Linked DNA regions of Arabidopsis thaliana. The protein of the gene in region 1 interacts with the protein of each later gene in a pairwise test. Each region holds a gene or a part of one and is shown on either strand. Other genes may lie near its edges. The genes, in order: AT1G68360 and TINY2.

Region 1 (12,200 bases):
CACCGTCGCCGCTCCCGTCGCTTCCGGCGGAGAATCATCCCTCTCAATCTCAATCTCCTTATCTTCTTCTTCTTCGCCGAGAAGTACTTGTTGCCTAAATATAGATTCCTTCATCTTATCAGCAACGTTTCTAAGATCTAACATAATCTTCTCTCTAAACTCTTCGATTCCTTCTTTCTCCGATGATTCAACCTTTAATCGTCGATTCTGATGATCGGATTCGAAATTCGAAGAACGGCGACGGATTCGTTGATCACCGCCGGAGCTAGAACCTTCACCACCGTCACCGTCAGAATCATCACCCTTCCCACACCGCAGAAGTCGTTGAGTCCCCCACAACTTCGGTAACGAGAAATTGATAAGAGTCTTTGATCTCTCGTGTCCCGTCGTCGTCGCCATTGAAAAATCAAAAACCTAAAATTTTCTCTCTTTCGTCTTCTTCGTTTAACTTTTTTCTTTTCGCTTGTGAGAAACGGAGCAGAAAGAGTTTTTGTTTATATACGAAGTGCCGTTTTTAACATAGAAGGGTATTTTGGGGATATTATAAGTTTTGTGAGAGTTGCTAAACTGCGCTGAGTTCTTGGCGCATAGGTTTTGAGATGTCGGTTTGAGTGATGAGATTGATTAATAACCGTTCGATTGTTTTTTGACTTCTTATTTTAGCCGTTGATCTTGATCTACTAAAATCTTTAACTCTTTTATGAGTCCAGGGCCTTTTTTTATTTGGGCCTCAATGTTTCTAATTTGGATTTTTGGGAATGTCAAATGTGTATGGATGATTACTGTTACTTAGGGTTTTTGTTCTATTTTTTCTTAGTTAGTATCAGCTTTACTTAGGATTAGGAATTTTAAAATAATCGTGTTTGTATTATGTTTTTTTTTTTAATATCAATTTAAATGGAAATATTACATTAGTTGTTGAATACTACTAATGGTCAATCTTCAACTCGGATTTCGGTTCGGTTTGAGGTCAAAATTTTCAGTATTAAAATTTTTGGTTTATGAACTATAGTATACAGAATAAACAATATATGAGTTAATATGATTTTACTTTTGTTTTGTTTTTTTCTTACTCAAACCACTAGTGTGAAGTTTTTTTTCTTTTCGTAATTGATAACTCCCATAAAAAAAATTACTTTATAGTGACAGTCCAAAGTCACAACCACAATATTTATCTCATCCAATATTTATCTTAACTTAAAAGGTTAAAACTTCTTCAACTTGAGGAAACTTGTTATTTTCATTAAATATATCGAAAGTCGGAAAAATATTTTGTGTAACATATTCTGTTAATTACTTAAATAGTCCGTATAAATATGTGATGTGCACAACACAAGAAAATTGTTTTCCACTTCATACATGATTTAGTATTAAAAAAACTATATTGAAAAAGAAACCTCCAACGGCTATTTATTGCATATAGATATAAATTGAAAAAGTAGACGACCGACCATATGACTTTTCACAGGTTGGCTTGGCGCTCCTTCTTAGATCTAAAACTCAAAACTTTTCATCTTCTATAAATCTTGAACATTAATGTCCCTTCCAAGAATGAAACCATAGAATACTTTAAATCAAAATGTCCCAAAGAAGAAGACCAATTTTCCAAAGAGTTTCGAAACTACTAAAAATCTCGATCTTGAGAAGACCCATCATCCCAAGACTCAAGCTAATTCCCATAAAACAAAGAAGATCCAAAAGGGTCAAACTCCTTCAGCAACACAACTATAAATTTCTCCAAGAGTATCAATTCTCTCCTTCAAGTACATCCTTTATCAAATGCTATGGGAAGAGCATTCAGATATCTAGATCGGGTCTTAAACGCATTTACGGGTTATTGTTTCTTTCTCAGTGTATCGGCCGGTATAATGAAAATGATGACACAATAACGCAAAGTTGGATGGAGATGGAGCCTTTTCATTATGCCCTCGGAGTTGCTTCTCCTGCAAGGGAGCATCTGCAGCCGTTCGATTACTTCAGCGAAGATGATTCGATTGACTTGAAGGCTGAGAGATTCATCGAAAAGTTCTATGATGAGATGAGAATGCAGGCGCGAGAATTTGCTTGATTGACCAAATGTCAAGTGTTATTAATTACTTTTTGAATTTGGGATTCTTTTCTACTTGTGTTAGTTTTCTTTTACACGTGATTGGTATTGTTAATTGTCTCCACATCATATTTAAGATCTTGGAGACTCAGTTATTTCGCTCTATTTGAGTATTTGATTCTATCCATTTACAATTTGAAGTTCTATCATTTCCTTGATTTGATTCTATAAGAATTTAATTAGAACTAGGCTCTTGAAGTTGAATAAGAAGTTGGCCCATTTAAGTGTTTGTCTTTATTCTCTGGAAGTTTTTCGTTTAATTGGGGCCTTTTGTAATCCAAATCCTAAATATTTCAATCATTAACTGTTATGGGCAAATGCCATTTTCCAACAATTTTAATCACAAATTGTTATGGGTATGCCGTATGCCTTAGCTAGTCTATTGGGCCACCCAATTTTTGCATGTTCGCATGTTAGACGCAAGTTAGATACATTTATACGAGGAGAAAAAAGGAAGACGTAATGGAGCAACGAATGAGAGATCGACAAGAGGAAGACATGTCTTTTTACCACTTTTATTTCTGAAACCGGTAGGACAGTATCGTACGCTAGTCCACTTCAAGAGTTTACATAATTGATAGTATATTATTTGTTATGTATGTATCGAACAAGTACATACGTGCACTTTTGTTTTTTCTTTTCTTGGGTCCTCATGCCACTTCGATTCTCAAAAGATATATCTTTATGTGGACCAACGACTTAAGCAATGAACTAAAACGAGCACACATTACGTCCCACCCCATGTGAGTTTAAAGTTATAGTTTCTTCTTGGATTGTGCCTATACGCAAGCCAATCAACATTTTTAAAACTCGACCTAGAAATGTTCTTGGAACGTATGAAATGTCATTTGGGTTGTTTCTTATTCAAAAGTTTTGTTCTATTCAAATCCATACACTTATTACGTGAAGCGTTCTAATGGAACGCATGGAATGTCATTTCGGTTGTTTCTTATACATATTACATGTAACTTTGTCATTTGTTTATCAAATTTTGTAACTAACGGGAATCTGGAATATAAAAGGGGAAAAAGGTGTATCCCGACAAGATCTAGTACTTTATTCTTATCATATATGGAATTGATCTATCGACATCATAATTGTAAATACATTGTAAAAACGTTAAGAGAGAAAGGAACTTTCTTTGGATATACTTAAGCCACAGACTTACTTGGAACCAACGAGGCTTCGACACACATCCACAGCATCTTTCTTCTCTTTCCATATTTCATGTCAACAAAAGCTAAACCCTAGGGATTGTCTTGCTTTCACATGTCCGTATCACTTTCCACGTAAGCCCTATCGTGTTTCTTAGATGGAATCTGAATTGTCATATTAGTGCTTGTCCCTAACCTACCACAACGTACTTTAACCACTAACCTATCTCCACATTACTCTTATACCCACAACTAATTCTTGGTTTCTTAGAGGAGCTGAAGAGGTAAAAGGAAACAAAACATGTGTTAAATAACTTGTACCAACACAACGGCCTGACTCCATGCTTCCGCTAATCCACCATCAACCGAAATAAATCGATTAGCTTACGCATAGAAGTTATATGATAATGGTTCTTCAGATACTCAATCATATTTTCTATTTATTTTTCGTTTATTTAAACTACCAAGTTAAATTATTATATCAATCTTTTAGTTTTTAAAAATACTTTTTGGGGAAGAGAATTTAAATATTTTTTATAAAAAAAATTAACTTAGATTAAAAAAAAAAAGTGGGTTAGAAAAAAATTCGAAACATCAGTTAGAAATTACAAGTTAACTTAACAAATTTTCTTACAAATTAAACAAAAAGATAAGGGGAAGAGAATTTCGTTTATCTTTAAAAAAAAAATATTACACAAATTATGGTATTTTCTTAACGTGAACAAAATTAATAACTACTAGCGCATGTATGATACAAGTGGACTCCTAATGCATGATGAGGACCATACAAAACATTATACTTTCTCCCATGTGTTATTGGAGAATATAGCTAGGGTTAAAAGTCTAGACTACTGTCTACTGCGACTGTGTATAATAAAGCCGAAATCATTGTTTTCTATTATTTTCGATTTTTTGTTAGGTGGTGATGCATATGTGCATGCATGATACATTATTGAAGATCCAATGTTTTTGATATTGTAAGCCAATGAGATTATATGCAATGTATATGTGTAATTGTCAGACTGGTAAAGCAAAAGCATAAATAAGACGTACCCTCAAGAGCAAAAAATTTAGTGGGTATCTTTTAGATTAGGGTGTATATATTGCATGATTGATGGTGTGATAAGGACTTAGATGATTCCTTAAAAAGGACACATGGTGCAGCAAAAAAGCACGTTTAGGGACTACGAAAAAACTTTCCCTCCAAAAAAAGTACCTTTTACATATACAAACATGAAACATACACTTAATATTGTTATTTTTTTGAGGTGAAGTTTACTGATTAAAAAAAAAAAAAAAAAAATTAAAGACTATTGCTAAGAGAAGAGTAGTAGAATGCCACCCAAAAAAAAAGAGAGAAGAGAAGTAGAAAAGAATAGAACAATAATGTTTAAGAGAATCCTCTTGTATGGAAATATTGACAAAGAAAATCTCTATATTCGCTGGATTCTTGGTACCCGAGTGAGACTACGCGGTTAAAGGCAGAATTTTCGATGATGCGGATGAGATAGCTATTTCGTAACAAAAAAAGACACAGATAACACTTGAAATGTATATGTACACAATTCATCATATTTGTTTTTTGTATTCAGTGGGAAAAATAATTTGAGTTTTGTAGGATCGTCGACTAATTAATGATGACGTCTCTCTAATTGAGAAATTTGGAAGATAACTTTTCTGAAATAATGGAAACGTACTTTTCCCTGACCGGTAGAGAAATGTTTTACGTGCAGATTAAAATTTTACCCCAACACATCATCTAAGTGTCTAACTACACAATAAACCAAAAAAAAAGTTTCTAACCAAGCAATGTTCAAAACTACTTTCTAAACTTATAAGTATATAAATACTCAACTGCTCCAATTCCCATCACACCTTACTATAAACACACATAGACACATACATATGTGCCAATTGCATTGTTAAGTATCTAAAAAACAAATATGCTTTAGGTCATGTATATTTTATTTGCTCATGGTGACTAGGATCCCATTTCATGTTGAAACACGAAATGCGCTGGTATACCTATACCCCCTACATATTAGTATACGATTGTTAATTAAATTAATTTTATAATTTCAAATTCGGGGACCCGAGGATTCTTCCTAGCTTGTGACATGTAGTATTTTCTAAATGTTGAGGTAAGCTATTTTATTATTAAAAATTGTTCTTCTTTTGGTATTACATATCCACATTCGTTAGAAAATATATGTTTTAAGAATAAACAAAATGTTAGCATAGTGTAAGATACCTCCATTATATAAGTACCTGTATGCCTTAATTATGAGATATATAGGAGCCTAGTGATATTTAAAGTCGAAGAAAACGTATCACGTTGTCACAATCATTTAAAAAATTGTATTTTCGACCCGGGTTTGTATATGCATGTAGATTGCACATACCAAAACTCTATCTCTATGTATGTTGACATCTCTCTTTATAGCCGTTGCTAGTGGTTACATGTATGCTCCTAAAGGGAATAATTAACTGAAGATTTGAGAGTATTTGACTTTGAAAACCTGGAGTTGAATCATATTGACCAAAAGATTATAGTGGTCCTACAATCCCTAAATATGAGAAAATTTTAATTATAACCAAATTGTGTTAGAGAAGTAATTTTAATTCTAACCAAATTGGGTAATCTACTAAATTTAATTCTAACAAAACTGTGTAATCGACTAACAAGACCATAGACCAAAACTCACTAAAGCTGTACATAATTACTACGATGCTAATTGTAGATTAACTTTTTCCATTGTTGTAAAACAGAGGCCTACCAACAATTTTCGAATCTAAAGTAATAATTTTCTATACTTTGGTTCTAAAAACCAATATGTCAAAACTGTGAGAATTCCAAAAGTAATTTGTGCATAGACTTCAGAACAGCTTTTGTCCAAAAAAAAAAGGACTTCAGAACAGATTTGAAGGCGTATCAATTTCAAACGCAATCCGAAAAAGGTTGCAGCGTGTCCCTTTTGACTAATTTTAAGCACAATTTTGAAGCAAATTTGTGAGTAAAGGTGTAGAGTTTTCATACTCATCTTTGCATTCTATTGGCCTGACAATAAAAAGGCTTTGAAAAACGATTGATCTAATGGATCTGAATATTGGAATTATTATTTTGTATGTGTTTAAACATACATTCTATAAAATCACTTTCAGTGCACCTGACAACTTATCTCCTAACGTTTATTTTTATATTTTTAGTCTTTGGTCCTATTGTTTATATTTTTTTCTTGGAGTCTCAACAAATATTACCTTCTGGAATGTTTTTTCATGAATTGGTTAAGCATTTTGAGACTCTACTTTTTGTGGTAGTAAAGCATAATTGGAGTCTAAACTAGTAAAATATTTATTAGGCAAACAATCACTGGAATTTAAAGTCATTAATTAAAAATACTGATAGAGAAAAAAAAAATCACTAAAAATAAATAAATTAATTAAAATGTTGATAAATATACAAGAGCTTTAAAAAACACGTCAATGACCAGCAGGTGCAAGACTGAGATGCAAATCCAACCCTAAACCATCATCAAAAGTAGTTCCTACTTCTCTTGAAAACCCATTAACCGATGGTCTCGGCCCATGGGCCTGAACATGTCTCATCTGAGCCCCAACTACTCCAAACCCTGAATCACGAGCCCCATACTCGTACGAGAACCCACCAGCACCCGCACCACCCGAACCATCTTGGATGACGCAGCCATGAGACACGTGAAGTTGAGATGGAGAAACACGTGGAAGATACATCCAAGGACCTCCCATAGGCTGAGGCACGGCGGATGATGATAAAAGATGAGGCGGAGGAGCAAAAGCAGAGACTATAGGATTCCTTAAAAACTGAGACGCTGATCCAGCGTTTGAGAAATTTGCGGCTGCGTTTCGTGTAGCTTGAAGCTGAGCACGTTTAAGCTGTTGACGCTCTTTCTTGTGAGCGTTTTGGTGACCACCTAAGGCTTGTGAGTTACCAAACTCTCTACAACAATACTGACACTCATACTTACGTTCTCCTCCTCCTCCTCCTCCGCCTCGGCTTCGTACACCACCGCCACTTCTTCCGGAAGATCCTGCCGGAAACTCGCCACGTTCCGGTGATACAGAAGATAGGTTAGTTTTGACTGATTGATCGGAGAAATCTTCTTCTCCATCAACACTAAATCCAAATAGCTTTAGACGAGAAGTTGTTGTTTTTGAACTAAAATCCAGCTCCTCCATTAAATATGTATGTCTTTAGAGAGAGAGAGAGAATTAGAAAGAAAGAAAGAGATATGTTGAATAAGGCTTATAATAAGAGGAGGTTGATGAGTGAGGGCATATATTTATATAAACTGAGATGTGACTTTGTACAGTAACATGGGAGACACTGTGCAAGTGTGTGTTGTGTGAAAGATATGAGAGATTGTTGTGTGATTAACTTTGGTTTTTGTTTTCTACGTATTTGTTTTATTTTTCGGACATCCCAAGAAGAAAGAAAAAGAACAGTGAAAGTGGGAGTTTGAGGAACACACGAACCGAGACGACATGGATAATGGGACCCTATTGGATTTCATTTGTCTCCTTTTTTTTCATGTGAAAGGAAGTTTCAGTTTGGCTCTACTTTTATGTGTTTATTCTTACTAGTTCTCTTCGGGAAAATTCATATGTTTCCACCTACTTTTTAATGTGATTCTGAAGCAAAAAATAATAATTACGACATACTTGTTTTAAAAAAATTACAAATCTTTTTTTAAAAATAAATTTCTAAATGATTAATAAAAAAAAGTAAAAAACCATTGATTTGATGCGTTCTATGCGTTTCATGTAAATTATGTTATTTACGAACTTGATTTTGCTATTTATTTTGAAATTAAAAATAAGTGAAAGAAGTTTTTAAATGTAACTATGAGAGATTTAATTTACCACAAAAAATTTGTATAGACTAATTTGTTTTGGTATATTTTTTTATTGTTTTGCAAACTTTTTGAACATATTTTTCTACGATGCAAATATATTCTCAGCAACATACTAAGTTCGGAGATTTGTTAATGGCAAATGTTTTAGTAGATTTAATTTCATGGAGGTACACCTAATGTTTAAGACACTAGCGCTCCTTAATCTAATTTAAGATTCACAAATTCTTAAAAAAACTCTTTATATCCCACAAAAAAAAACTTGATTTTTCTACGATGCAATCGCCTAAATCTCAAAACAACTCATCCATAATAAACATATTGAATTATATATCAAACTAGTCCTAGATATAAAGTACTCATTTTCCTCCTAGAACTCTGACTTCTTTCCAATTTTGTTTATCAATTCCAACTAAAACGTCGGAAACATAAGTTTATGTTCTTGTTCACATAAGCTAATATGACCATGATAGTGTGTTAGTTTGTTGCGCTCTCATAATGAAACGAAAGGAACAAACATTCACAAGATATTGTAACGGGTCTTTCTTGATTCTTTAACATCTGACGTTTTCTCAGAATAAAACAAATATATATAATCTGAATTTCTTTTATAAATAAATTTGATCCGGACAGTTGGTAATCTAATCTAGAGCAGTCAATAATTTTTAGGATATTTTGTTTGTTAGCTAAGAATGTATTGTCGTCTGTAGACTAAGTCATTTTATATTAACCTACAAATACAATGAGAGAGTTTCTAAAGCTACTCAAGAAAGTCCCGTGATACCTAGACCTAAGTTGGAATAACATCCAATTTGTATAATTATTGTAACTTCCAAATTTCAATACCATATGTAAGTCGAGAGACCATAAACATTTTAACTTATACATTATTCCTCCTTTTGTCTTGATATTCCATCTCTCTAGTTACCTATTGTCTTGATATTCCATCTCTTTAGTTACCTATTGTTCCTCTTTTTTTAATTCTTGATTCCATATCTCGACTTGGTTTGTAACCCAGATGATGATTTGAAAGTGACTTACTTACAGAATTTGTAATCCAAAGTTTATAGTTGATGTTTTAGAGGGGAGAGTCCCCACGAAATGTACCGATTGTTATACCGAAAACTCGTTAAATCTTAAGTATTTTTAATGTTTTACTCTCATGCAATTGACCATAAAATTTAAGTATTTATCAAGTTAATCACTTACAAAGTCGTTTAATCAACAATTTTTTTTTATTTATTTTTTGTAGTTGGCTAAATTAAATTAATATATATATGTAGAAAACTAATTAAAAACTTTTTCTAAAACCATCCAAAAATTTAGAACAACAGTTATGTTTTTTAAATTAGTATTTTCATATTTTACTTAAAATTTCACCCAAAATATGTATTAGTACAAAGTAAAAAGATGCCGACAGACGGAAAGTGATTAGTAAAGTCAAGATAGAGTAGATGCAAACAAATGTTATCACAAACATAAAATTGCTTCGTTAATTGAAAGAGAAAGAAAAAAAGACAAATCATAATGTGGGATGTGATCTGAAGTGACCCAGAAGCCAAAAAGTTTGAAATGTGTGACAAAGAAACATGAGAATCTAATTGAAGATGTGAAAATAAAAAAGGAACAAAAGTCCCACATCTCACTTCTGTGTGTCCCACGTGTCTCCGTCGCATTATCGTGCGTATCTATTTTCAGATACGATCTCAAAATTTTAATGAAAGTCAAATAACTTAAATTTATGAACTATAATTGCAATTTACTTTCTTACATCTAGTAAGGATGTCTTTAATTATGACTATATTAGAAATATATGTTTGCATGTACCACACTTTGGGGCCTAAGGTAAAAATTGTCAACGCAATTCTTTTATACTTATCATAATTTAGTTTGCTTTCAAAGTGAGTTGTGAGTTTAGTTATAGTGTATTTACATATTAAAAAAAAAATTGCAACATATATATATATATATATATGTATATATTAATATTATAATAAGTAATTTTTTAACAGAAGATTAACCCCTAAAATCTATAGATTACCGAGTTTTAATTATTATCGATCATTTTAATAAATTAATAAAAACTCATGTTAGAGATCTTTTAGGTTTATAGATAAAAAAATGAGTTTTATTTTTGAACATGTTTTACCACGTAATTTTGTTCTCTCAAAAAAATGTTTTATATGGGTTTAAACTTGAATGGGAACGTAGCAATTCTACAAACACAAATTACTATTTTACCATCTATGGTTAACATTTTTAAATGAGTTATAATGAATTACTATAGCTGCACATAATTCAACTATGGTACCAATAATTTCGAGTTAAACATATATCAAACTTTCGAAATCTCGATTTGAAAGAATGTTCAGTTTAACCTCTGAATAAGTAAAGATAGTTTGGTGAAAAAAAGGAATTTGAAGAGAAAGCTAAGTAATGTGGAAACTACTTAAAAGTGGGGTTTGTTAAGGAAAAAACGAGGAACGACCAAAATAAAGTCTCAGATGTTAACATGTTCCCCACGAATTACGTGCCAAATGACGAAACCTTGTTTCACGAGTATGTTCGCGTGATTGACGTCAAAATTCACACACACACGTTGTTAATAACCTTTTCTATATCAATTATAATACTTGGAAATATAATTATATATAGAGGGCTCAGAGATCTGCGAATCTTACTAACTCAATTAAAAGTTAATTGGGTGGTTTGAGATTGGATTAAGGCTTTACTTTGTACAAAAACTAAAGATTAATAATTGTGTGAACCCTCATAAAACTAAAGTCTTTGTTAGGGGTGGAGAAATGTCCCATCTTGTCTACCTTTTAATTATATCTTCCACGATAATCTACATAATTAGTTTTTGGTTGTTTCCGTCTATCTTCTTTTTAATATCTCTTCTCATACCAACAATAGCTTACTATGAAAAAACGACGGGTGATAAAATTGTAAATAAATTAAGTTTGATCGTAAATAGTCATCTAGAAATTAAATTCACACTGAAAGAAATCCCTACTCGAATTGATTTGTTATATAGATATGAAATGATATTATAAAGTTCATTCAGAAGTGTGTGGAAGATGCTTTAAATTATTATTATTATCTTTTTAAATCTCTTGAGATCTCTCTTTAATGGAGCACATGATCATAGAATTCGGCTCGGTGGGTTTGCTAAAACATTTCTTTTAGTGTTGTCAAACGTCGATTTTGCTTGAACACATCTTTGAAAGTTTGAAAAAAAAAACCGACTTAAAATGTTGTTTAAAACTTAGTATTCGCTTCAAATTAAATTTCTAATTTTTAGTTAACAAAACATGTATATAAGTATATTAATATTAACATACTCAAAATTTTGTAGACTAGACCTAATATTTTATGCTGTAACGAAAAAGGCTGATAACATAAATAGTTTATATAATGTGTATATTGGATGAATTTGAGAATTGATTCCTAAACAGACGCTCCTCGATATGCATGATGTCATGTGGACTTCGCATAAAGAAGACCTAAAATATTATCTATGCACAATTGATATATGTAGGAAGATTATATTGTCACTTGTTCGGGTGTATGATTATAAATATAATCATGTTATATGTCAAATATTTCTTATTGGAAACAACTAAAAGCAAAGAAGATGCCCAACATGCAATTAACATTCTGCTTTTTATCTTTAGAGTATCCAATGAACTTTGTTTTTGACTTTTGTTAATAATGTTTTGTGCATCGAGTAATATGTTCTTTTCTCGTCTCCTGGTGGAACTCAAGGACTCTAATCATGTATGTGTATGGATATTTACTTAAAAAAACGCATACAATCATAATAGATAGGTCTATCCTATGACTAAAAAAAATAAAGATTGGCCTATCCTATGACAAGGAAAACAAGGATTGGCCTATCCGGAAATTAATTTTAAAATGTAATCTAAGAGTTCAAATATAAGTCATAGGTTTTTTCTTGTGGGGACCAGATATATAAGTCATTTTTTCCCGAACTTGACATAGTCATTAAGTTCTCATTCTTTGTTTCATCATGCAAATGATCTCTTA
Region 2 (12,858 bases), on another chromosome or scaffold:
AATCAGGCTTATGGAACATGGTATGTTGTCTCCCGAAAAGGCGAAGCGAGCCTTTGAGAAAAAGCAGAGAAAAATGAAGCAAATTCGAATGGGGACACCGAGTAAATCGGCACCAACGTTTTCTAGTAAAGCGGAGAGTTCTCAAAGAACATCTGCATCCAAGAACAACGGTTTAGATGCGAGAAAGAAGAAGAAAGTCGTCGATGATGATGACGATGATGATGATGATTTCATCCTAAGCCACAAGAGAAGGAAAGTGTAAACCATACAAACTTGTTATTAGGAAAAAATCGAATAAAGTGCTCAGAGATCGTTGCTGTATATGCTCAAAATGTTGTTCATGATTGAGGATGTACCATGACACAATAGTTCAGTATAAAGTTTTAGTAAAGCATGAATAGTATAACTTTTGAATTGATCAAATTTTCATATCTATGAGTCTTCCATAGTTTTTTTATATCCTTAATCATTTGATCTTTCATGAACACAGCATCACTTTTCCTGACAAGTTTCATCTCACAAGATTACAGAATCTATATGTTTAATGTTTCTTTCGCCATCTCTTTTCTTAATTAGGAGCTAAACTTTTGAAAATTTGTTTGGTTAATTTTTTCAAGAAATATTCAGTTTTAGTTAATATATTCATATTCAAACCATCCTAATCTCTAACCATTTGTTTCTCTTAAACGACTTAGAAACAAATTCTATTACACAGCCGAAAATGTCATCTACCAATATAAAATTCAGAAGATTTTAATTGTGTGCCTCTAAAAACAACTTTTTGGAAAATATTGATCAAAGTCACTGTGCGGCTACTATATCATGAAACAAGCAATTGCATGTGACAAACTAGCAGCAGGACTGAAGCTGTCGAAATAGTCAGGCACTCAATAGTCAAGACCTTCTTCAATTTCCCTGAATATCTTCTTTCAATAATGATTTGTTTTCTCTGCCGAAAAATTGGGTGTAAATGAAAGAAAAAAAACTAGAAGTGGGCAACAATAAATGGTGATGGTGAATTTTGACTGTTGATATTTGATGTACTTTTTGAGTCAGGATCATGTTTTCTTTGTATGTTTTGTCCGTCTCTTACACAATCTTATGATTTCTAACTTTTCATCATTTTAACCTGTCATAGTTATATATGTGTGTCATGGATTAGAAAAAGGTAATTGAAGAATCATCTAATACATCGAAAGGTCTAATCTTATTAAATGATTTTTATAACGGTAATGAAATGAATTCCCTAGAGTGGTCACAGTCTTTTTTAAGACTGGTCACACTTATCTATCAACAATCTTAAAATAAATAGTAGCAATCAAACGATTACTCATACATCGTCAATCCCAATAATATGACTTTCTATAATACTGATGTGAGTGTATATGATGTAGGTTATTTTTTTTGTCGACTGTTTTTCTCTTCCATTATAGGGAATCATGAGTGTATAATTTTCTGTAGAGTAAATGAAAAATATCTTATGTATTCCGTTATTTAATTGACCACCAAGATTCGTAACTGCGTGCACTTGATTTTGATTTTACTTATCAAATAATTTCGTGCTAATTCATCTGAATTAACCAATATTGCTAAGCTCGCGTGACAATTGGTCGTATAATCGTCGTATTCGGGCTAATGTTCCTATTATCTCCATCACACAGTCGTGTCGGTGTTTTAGATTTTTCAACAAATTTGTACATTATACTAAATTCATTTATTCTAAAACCAATAAAATCTTAAATTTATGTAAAATCTTCATGACAACGAGTCATGATTCTTAATTATTTTTGTCAGTCCCAATCTAAAATGAAATAGCTGACACGTATTATCAAGGTCGAATCCAAAATATGATACGATAACGACCGCAATGATACAAAGAGGGGTTTTGAACTAATTAACTGATACCGTACGTTTTTGTATTTTTCATCAGCATATATTACGTTGTTAAATCAACAAAGATAGCGAAGCAGATTAATATCGTTTTCCATGTTTCATCGACCAATATTTGATTAATTAGAATACTTTTAGCAATTCAAGATTTTTATGGGTCATAATGACAATCATTTGCGTGTTTCGTTGACTAGTACTATACTCTCTAAAGCAAAAACATGTTAAGAGTAAATGTCCTACATCTCGACGTGTCTTATTTTTCTCTGTCTGTCAATTTTTGTCTCTCAATGGAACATACACAAGATAGTGATACATATATATGTTGAATAGGGAATAAAACTACACACCATATGATATTAACTTCAATTTAATTCTATGCTTATTCGTCAGAGAAGAATCTGGAGAGCATATATATGTATATTCTCTAACTTCAATATAAATGTGTTTTCGTCTGAAAACAACACAATGTATACCTCCGTAAAATTAATTAAGCCACCTCAAGTCTAATTAGTATTCCATCTACTATCACTTTAGTTTTTGTAGTTGGGATGGTCTAACGATAGGACAACTTACGTGATAGAAACGGGTGAAATAAACTGTAAGAAACTTACAAAATATTATTATGCCTTATCAGAAACGTAAAAAAAAAAAAAAAAAATGATGTGAGGTGGTAAAATAAATGGGAAAATATCAGTGTACATTTTGTAAAAAAATGTTGCAGTTGAAAAATTTAATATTCAAAAATTGAGAAAAAATTTGTTTAACAGACTTGGCTTGATTTTCTGTAAAACTAAATAAAATTCCATCACAGATCTATCCAATACAAATTATGACAAAATCGTTAAAAAAAAAAAAAAAAAAAAGAGTTCACAAAATCGTAAGAAAATACCAGAGATTGTATAATAATTGAACTCAGACCCTATAATGTTTGTTTGTTAACGTTCTTTGACCCCTTTTCTTTTTATTTAACGTTCTTTGACCGTACTATATATCTCTAAAATCTTACCAAATGACGAGAACACAAACCAAGAACATGTCTCTTTCCTGTATAAAAAAGAAAGAAGAAGAAGATGAAAAGTTCTATTTCCAAAAGGCTTATTTTGGACCCTTTGAAAAAAAATCGCCTTTATAGTCTCTGTATTTTATTTTATTTTATTTTGCCTAATAAAACCATAGTCGGAAGATATAGATATTTGGTTTTGTCTGCCTAAATAAACACAAATAAAATTGACCAAAAATAAAATAAAGTAAATTACATAAAGATGTTTTTTCCCCTCTATTTACAAGTGGGTCTGCTTCGTTTATTGCGAAGGTCTTCATTAATGGTCAGTGTCTGAAATGAGTAAAAAGAAGCTTGAACAATCTTGTAAAATGGAATAACGGATACGAAGGCAAATAGCATAATTAAAATCCTTTAAAGATCCTTACCCAAAAAAAAATTAAATCCTTTATAGCTGATAAAATCTAAGATGTTTTAGACATTTTATTTGGTTTCATATTACAAGATGTTTTCCAAGTTTATAGATAATTTAAATATATTTGTTATTTGTGACCATTTATATTATGCAGTATTTTATATTATTAGTTGAATTTTATTAAATCAAATATAAAATAAAGGTTTTAAAAATAAAAAAAAGTTCTTTTTTAATTAAAACATCTTATATTTTGAAATATAGTGAATAATTTTTCTTTTTTTCTATTTTTTCATTCATTACTAGTTAGTTTTGACTTTTAAATAGAGGTTTCAAAATTATTTAATGGTTTTGTAATCCGATTGATTTCATAAACTGTTCTCGTGTTCTAACAATATTTTCAAAACAATTAAACTATTTTCGTTCTCGTCTTAAATAGACTTGTAAGAATCTCACATAAAATCTGTTTAACTAGGATAAATATAAAGCAAGAGTCAATATATTCATGTCAATAATTTTTGAATTAGAAACTTGTAAACTCTAAAACCTTTGTTGACCAGTTTTTTTTTTTTTTTAGTAAACTTAAGATGATCAATATTATTGTTAATTAGTATTACGTATATGATCAATATAAAATGCATATACGTATTGCTGAAACGAGAGGCGAAAATACAAACAATTCTCTTCATTGCAAGTACTTAGACATTGCTATTACTTGTGAAAAATCCAAAATGATTATTAAGAGACATTATTTTTTCGTCATTAAGAGACATTTTTTTGGCATGATTATTAAAAGACTTTAGTGTATGTGTATATTTGACAGACACTCGTCCTTCCTTATAGGTACGCAAATACGACCCCATGATTGAACAAGTTATTGTCCCTTAAAATTTCTTGAAGTTTCCTCTACAAACTTCTTTTCTTTATTTGCAATATTGTACCTCTAATTTTGGGGGCTTTTTTTTTTAGTTTGGAAGCAACTTTAACCTAATTAATATCAATTGGCTGGTAGATTTCTTTCTTTTATGGGTCTTACGCCCATATATTTTCTAAGACCAGGACAGAGGTATTAATTATCAATTTACTTACGGTTAAACCCCCTTTAGTACACCTTTTCAAGTCTAAGTATAAAATATCCTCTCAAATGAAATCAGTACAAATTGTGCAATTAATCACACACCATTTGGTGTCTCGAAAAAAAACACTCAGTTACAAATTTCTCCAAAATTTAAAATTTAGCCTCGAAGCATATGGTTTATTGGTTAAGACAAGTTCCTTTAATTAGCCCTCGATATATATAACTAAAGTAAACATATGATACTTACTAAAAAAATTTCCTGAATAAATCTTCAAAAACTGTTGACATTCATATAATATGTTTATAGAAAATCAAAATTTGAAAGACAATAACTCTATATCCGTGTAAATAATATGTATATTAATTCTGATCAAAACTAAATTGCAATTATGGCATATCATATATGTGGATACATATTGCCTTCACATGATGAGCATATATATATACCAATATGTAAATAGGAATGTATGATCCAATGAGTCGAAGATCAAGGTAAAGGATAATTAAACAGTAAAACTGAGGTGAAAATTATCTTACCACACAAAACAAAAAAGGCTTGTCTCATCATGTTCATCTCGGAGACAACTTTCATATAATTTACGTACCCGGCCGAGACAAAATCTCTTTTCAACACTGCCCTTCTAAATATGGTCGTCTCATAATCTTTTAATATACTGAAAAGTATTTTGTTTTCCTAATTTAGTTGCATAATGAGATTTTAAGAACCGGGAAAAATATTAAAGCAAACAGTGACCCCAAGTGTGTCGTTTTATACTAATAACAATATATTCACAATATAGAAATAGAGTGGGTCTGTGAGAAAAACAAAAATAAATGGAGCCACTGGGTCCATTTCCTTTATTCAATTAGACTTATTGCATTGTTTTTGGTCCCATTCCCTCTCTTCTAACCCGTACCCAAATATATTAATGCATATATAAATATTTTGAGTGACTGAGAAATGATAGCCAAAATTTTACCAACATTTTTCTCTTCTCATATCAAAGTTTCTCTCTCATTTCTTCATCACACTTCACTGCCCTGTTTTTTTTCCTCATTTTGAATAGTTCTCAAACTTATATATTTTTCCCCCTGAAGCCTAGCTATTTCTTTTTATTTGCATTAATCTCGGGATCCGAATCGAAAAAAGCAATCAGAATAATAGACTTGTACGATACTTGTGCCTAAGCTAACACAATGGCAGAGGAATACTACAGCCTCCGCTCGGAGAGAGTAACTCAGCTTCTTGTCCCTAACTCGGAGTCTGACTCAGTGAGTGACAAAAGCAAAGCTGAGCAAAGCGAGAAGAAGACTAAACGTGGGAGAGACTCCGGTAAACACCCTGTTTATCGCGGAGTAAGGATGAGGAACTGGGGAAAATGGGTGTCGGAGATTCGTGAGCCGAGGAAGAAATCACGTATTTGGCTGGGAACTTTCCCGACGCCGGAGATGGCGGCGCGTGCACACGACGTGGCGGCTCTGAGCATTAAAGGAACGGCCGCTATACTAAACTTCCCTGAACTCGCTGACTCATTCCCTCGACCCGTTTCATTAAGCCCTCGAGACATTCAGACAGCAGCTCTTAAAGCAGCTCACATGGAACCGACGACGTCGTTTTCATCTTCCACGTCTTCGTCGTCGTCTTTGTCTTCTACGTCTTCGCTCGAGTCTCTTGTGTTGGTGATGGACCTCTCGAGGACTGAGTCGGAGGAGCTCGGTGAGATTGTGGAGCTTCCAAGTCTCGGGGCGAGTTACGACGTCGACTCGGCTAACCTTGGGAACGAGTTTGTCTTCTATGACTCAGTTGACTACTGTTTATATCCGCCGCCGTGGGGACAGTCGTCCGAAGATAACTATGGTCACGGAATTAGCCCTAATTTTGGCCATGGCTTGTCATGGGATCTCTAACAGTTTATTTTGTATCATTACCATAATGTTTTGTTTAAAACAGTTTATTTTGTATCATTGCCATAATGTTTTGTTTAATCACGTTTTTAAAACCCTTTGCTGTTTTTGTTTTTTTTTTGAGTTTTTTGGTGTTAGCTAAGAAAGGTTTTTTTTTTTTTTTTTTTTGGAGCGGGTGTGAGCTCCATAATGATACGTGTACAAAACTCTATTTGTGTTTTTTTTTTGTAATATATAAATATCGGGTTTTTTTGTCGGAAAAGAAGGGAAAATAAAGTGATTTTTTTGTAAGTATCATCAAATGAATAAGCGATAAATAAAAGTCCACTAACTTTATGATATTGTAATAATGCAAATCATCAAAATTTAAAAAACTGTTCAATGTTTTTGTTTTTGTTTTCTTTGACAAAAAAAGTTTTTTTTTTAAAATTATAGGAAATATCTTTAACCATTAATTGTAAATTAGAGTCTCACTATCCCATTCATTTTTGTTTTGTCGACATAAATGGAACGGAGAATGTGAGTTAGGGTAAAAAATGAGGGAAAACACAAAGCAAGAGCAACTTGTCCAAGCTGACGCAAACAATACACAGCCACATATGTACATCCATGCAATACTTTATTATCATCTATTAGTATGTTAATGACCATAATTTCCCACTTTAAAAAATTTGTTAGACAATATAGGCCACACAAATATCATACAACTCGTTCTATTTTAGAATTAAAAAGAGAAAGGCTTATGATAAATTCAGATCTGATTAGCCAGCTCCACAGATGACTTTTTTTTGTTTGTGTTCTTATTCTACGATATGTTAAGATTAAAGACTAATTTATCAAAATTTCATAATGATCATCAAATAAAAAAGAATGTATATATCAAGAAATAGATTAATATTAAAATGAATGAGCATCTATTTAATTTCCACATATAACTTGGATCCCTAAAGGGAGTTCCTCCTCTCTTCATTTTATGTCTCCACATCCAATTTTCTTTATAGCCGAACTTTTGTCGTACCACCACCGTTGTGGCGTCACTATTTGCTTGTGCTTAAATTAAGAAGCTAAATAGGATTTAAGATTTTGGTATTAGGGTTTATGATTTTTTTTGTTCTCAAGATATAAGATGATCATTTGGAGCTAGAGTTTAGATTTTGTCATCTAAGATTTAGATTTATTTTTTTATTCACACAAAAAAAATTGAAAACTATCACTGAATGATGAAAACGACTTGCAATGTTTTACATGAGAAACTTATGAAAGTTTAAAGTTTCTAAAAACGTGTGAAAGAAATAAAACTTACTGAAAAAGTTTCTAAAGAACTAAAGTTTATAGTGATATTATTGGAAATATATACTACAATAATAAACAAGAAATTTTGAAAAGTGTTGAAAGTTTGTTAAAAGTTTTCGAACTGAGAATGTCCGTTAATTATTACTCTACAAATGTGAACAGCATCCATCGACATTTTTATTTTTTAACGTCCAATGTTTAAAAAGACAAATTAATTCAAGGGTAATTCTGTTAAAGCAAAATGAGAATGTTATTTTCGAAAGACGAAATGTAAATGTAGCTTAAAAAACTAAAAGGAACTAGTTGACACGAAAAAGTAATTACCCCTAAAATAAATGTAGGCTAGCTTAATATTTATTTGAATCTATATGACAAGAATGACGAATGATCATAATATGACATATTTAGTCCTGTCACAGGCATATCTTTTTAACTTCCAACATCTCGTTTTTAGGATAATTATAATCATGAAAAAGAGATGTGATGATCCATAAACTACTTGGTCTAAAGTGGAATATCCATGAAATTAAACTGTCTTAGTCATTGTTATGCTACTTGAGGTTACATATCAATTATGCTGATCTCTTTAATAAAATGTAAAATGTGTCTAATAGTTTGCAAACTCCAAAAGTTTTTGTAGATTACAACATGATATCTTGTTTATAATAAGATATACAACGACAAGCTTCGTCCAGGATAAAGACTAGTGTCTTTTTCTGGTTAAAGATAAAGATAGAGACTGTTGTTACCATTTACCAAACAAATACAGTAATGATGTCACTGACACCGTTTAAAACATATTAAAGATTTTGGATTTACACCTTAAGACTTTCTTACGAGAGGGTGGGACATGGAACAATGATTCATATTCTTATCTGTTAATTATATATCATGATTTTTATATATAATATTCCATTTTTTTAGTCAATGTATAGAGTGAAAAAATGACATTGTATAACAGTTAATTAGTTGTTACGTGTTTTTTTTTCTCTCTAGCTGTTTCATGTTTACATTGCCTTTTATATAGTATCTTTTTTTTTTTTTCTGGTGGATATTATTAACGGATTAATGGATTTTAGCAGCGCTTAATTCCACGTTCTTTTAGCAAATCTATGATCAATAGTAAAAGCATGAACAAAATATACAACTATATAAAAATTTGACTCAGCAATCAGAGTTCCGACCCCGAGTGAGATAATTCTTCGTAATCAGGGAATATATTCAAAAGAGGTAACCTGACTCGTACAAGCAAACCGATATATGTTTTCTATTTAAACACCTCACTAAATATCAGATTAGTTCAGGACCATCCCTTAACCTAACTTAAAACTAGACTGCTAAAGAAAATTAGTACTAAGTTAGTGTAGACCATCCCTTCACCTAGTTTAATATGATTCGATCAATGTCAGATTGAGTTGATTTTGGTTCATAATAACTTGACGGTTTCATTGGATTTTATATCCACGAAACGTAGCCCCTACCTATATATTCCCCACTAACTATTAACGAATAATTAAATTAATTCATTAGGTTTTATTAACGACAGTATACCACGCAAATCTAGAGTGGATCCGACATAACTTTCTTGCATATCTTTTGTGAGGTATTGAAATTCTTAAATCAAATTTATCTGTGTCTAATGATGGGACTATGCTAAACTCCAAAAACGGAAAAGGAATTATTGACTCCTTTAGTACTTTATTTTTAGATTTCGACCAAAATCGTCAAAAATGACTTTACAAATGCTGAAAAATTAAAGGGTATCTGAACCACTTGAAATTCTCCACTAATATGCTTTGGTCTAAATATCTACGGATCAAGTAAGTCGGCAGGTTAATCACGTTTAGTGGACTAATTTAATTGACGGTGACCATTAATTAGAGTTGAATTTACATATATAAATCATTAGAATAAACTAATAAATATTAGGCTAGAAAACTGATTTAACGGTCGGTCAGCCATGCATGTTATTTGGCGTATTCATCCGGTTATGTAAACTATAACAGCAAACGCCAAATGCAATGTGCGTTTACTTTGTAATGATAAAATTTATGTAGAATTTTAAATTGCAAATGTGATTTGCTTATCTATTAAAACATATGAACGCCAAAAGTTTAACGTTTGAGACAATTGTATCCTACCTAAAAACATAGAAATATACATTTAGAATCTTATGAATGTGCATGTACCATTATATCTCCAAATCTTTTGTCCATTATCTTCTTTTTCGTCCATTATCTTTCTGTATTAACAAATTAAAATTGATATATTATGAAGAATATATACTTTTATTGTATGTTGAATTAACATATAATAATTAATGTTTTTTATTGTATATATGTAAAAAGATCACAAAGCAAAAAAAAAAAAAAAGAGGACAATAATGAGAACAGCAAAGACCCATGGCAATAGCAACATACAATTTTATAAACTCTAATACGTCCGTATTAATCAAAGCATTGCCTTTTAAAAGACAATATTCTTTGTGGAAAACCTTTTTTTGCCGGTTGCTATTTCAAGGAGGATGCTTTTAATTATTGTTTTGTACAAATATCTTGGGTTAGTGCTACTTGATTTAGTAATGTTGAGTATTATTATAATATGCAAAAAGTGCTAGACAATAGGTAGTAATTTAACGTGTAATGTCTAAGCGATTATAGGTATCGAATAGTTGATAGACAATCATATAATAGTGTTGAAAAAGATAAATTTTAAAAGAAAATTACAATAAACATTTGACAATTTACACTACATGGCTATATAATTTATATAGATTATAAAATACTACTACTATCCAAAGTTGCGCTCACTTTAATTAGCTTATTCTACAATTTAATATAGAGCAGAAAATATCTAACAAAATAAATTAGATAATACATAGGTATATGCATATTAATAAATTATTTTGCATAAGAATTAGAACGTTTTGAGTATCTAGACCGTTTGATTGAGCAAAAAAATGGCTTAATCACTCGTCCAACCATCTAAACAGCTAGTTAGATGGCTTAACCATTTGTTGAAACTGATCGATTTAGACGCTTGATATCAACCAATGAAACCACATAAGCTGCTTAAATGCATTCCGTGTTATTTAGCTACCTTGAGACAAAAAATGATCGAATAGAGTTTAGGCGTACCTGATCTTGTTTCTAGAATACAAAAATTTTAAATTCTTCATAATTTCTAAATAAAACTTATAAGAGTATTAAATCCTAATTTCTATTATTTATATCCACCTAATTTAAAATATATCTAACACTCAAACCAATATGTAAAATTTCTGGAATGAAGCCTCCTCGCTCCAACAAGGCATTCTAAAGATAGCCAGCTCACCTCTCCAGACTCCAGCTATATATGGTTCAGCCGACCATTTCCTTGTGCACAAGCTAATTGGCACCAGTACACCTCCCTCTGTTAGGTTGAAATTGGCACAGTAAAACAACTAATAATAAGAAAATAATGGAACAAAAAAAAACCTAATAACTAAATTAAAATATAAAACTAGTACAATGTAGATAATAAAACAAAGAATAATACATCAATGTATTAAATATACGTTGCGTATATGCTTCCGTGTGTCCAACACATTTGAATTTGTGTGTGTGGCTGTATTCAGGTATTAAGTGGTTCGAATCGAGATAGAAGTTGTGTCTCATGACCCTTTTTTCTGGGTTTTTTTTATCCAACAGACATGCCGCTTCAGATATATAATAAAAATTGTATAGAACATATTCATATATGACTCATTTTAGAAAAAACAAAGTTCTATATATACTATGACGCACTAGACTATATGGATTAGTATACGCTTGTCTGAATTAGATTAATTCAGATGAATATACGTAAATCTAATCACAATATAGACTACGACGCAATGTACTGATGTACATATGTAAAACAACGAAAAATCACGAAAGATACATATTTTTTTTTCCCAAAATAAAAAACCACGAAAAATCAAACAATAACACAAATATATTAATCTTGCAACAGCTGTTGCATATATATCTAGCCAATTTATTTTATTTTTAAAAACGCGTACCGTATATTAGTTTCAGTTACTAGTATAATTAACTAAATGATCAAATCGTATAATAGTTAGCTAGCAAAGTTATTTAAAATTTATATTTAGTTAATGCAAATGGCCATAGTTAACACTTTTATTTTGTCAACTAGTTAGCACTTTTTCTTTTGTAAATATAAGTGTATTCAATGATTTCAGATTAATTATCTATTGACGCACTTTCTTTTTTTAGCAAAAAAATGTATGTTTTTCCCCCCAGTATTAATACAAGTAATACATTATTGATGTACTATTCTCCCACAGGGGAATATAGCTTGAGAAATGCATAATGAAGAGTAAACATGTCATTAGGTATTAGCAATATACATATATACCAACTTCTAAAGATATTAATTATGTTTAATTTCTCTTAACTAGAAAATACAAAAAACTATATAATTTGAGACCTTCCTTCCATACTAATTATAAAGAACTTCTAAAACGCGTATAGTAATCCTTTCCAAACTCAGCATCTAAATTCGAATTCTATATATTTCTACTTACATTAATAGTGAGTTGGCAATAAAATGATTACATTGACATTATATATTGGAGAATTTAATACGAAAGGACATTGCAATGGTTGTTGCCTTGTTAGATGATTTTTTCTTGTCCTGCACTGGTTGGTGGATGATGTGATACTACAGTTCCAATAATTTTTTAAACAATAAAGTAAAATAAGATCATTTCTGGACTGATTCTAGATAAGGATTTTTTCTTTGTTTGGTTTATTTTCGAGGGCTTCCTCAAAATAAAATTTTAATTTATTTTTTCAAGAAAAAATTAATTTTGAAATTGTCCAAAATAAAAAGTTTTAAGGGAATTTTTTAACTCCTATTAATGATCTCAGACCCTTCTTTTGCAAATGTTAATTAAATAACCTTTTTGAATCTTATAAGTACTTTGTAATTTTTAATAATTTAGTGAGTTTTGAAATATAAACCATAGTAATTGGTAGGTTTTTTAAAGATAAGTTCTCTCCTGTCTTATTTAATTATTTATCTATCTGAGTTTATTAATTATTATAGTTACTCATGATTTTAGATATTCATGACAACATTTTCAACACATATATAAGAGATGGTTTGAACCTACAATCTTGATGTAACAGTAACATCACATATTTTGGATATTATGTACAAGATATAAAAATCTATGAAAGAAAAAATGACATAATACTTGGCCATTAATACATTTAACACCAAAACCAAATCCTT

What was found.
Region 2: the proteins of AT1G68360 (region 1) and TINY2 interact in a two-hybrid assay, tested with the Arabidopsis thaliana proteins (one large-scale study listed by BioGRID).

The regions. Positions count from the first base shown.
Region 1 is NC_003070.9:25,614,937-25,627,136, forward strand, and holds AT1G68360 (C2H2 and C2HC zinc fingers superfamily protein), read right to left. Parts: upstream 7,658-12,200; 5' UTR 7,477-7,657; coding exon 6,742-7,476; 3' UTR 6,597-6,741; downstream 1-6,596. Other genes in the region: AT1G68340 (hypothetical protein (DUF1639)), read right to left, coding at 1-399; AT1G68350 (cotton fiber protein), read left to right, coding at 1,580-2,068. UniProt on the Arabidopsis thaliana protein: Probable transcription factor required for the initiation of inflorescence trichomes in response to gibberellin and cytokinin. Acts upstream of GIS, GIS2, ZFP8, and the trichome initiation factors GL1 and GL3.
Region 2 is NC_003076.8:3,721,219-3,734,076, reverse strand, and holds TINY2 (Integrase-type DNA-binding superfamily protein), read left to right. Parts: upstream 1-5,350; 5' UTR 5,351-5,577; coding exon 5,578-6,288; 3' UTR 6,289-6,624; downstream 6,625-12,858. Other genes in the region: AT5G11600 (uncharacterized protein), read left to right, coding at 7-262.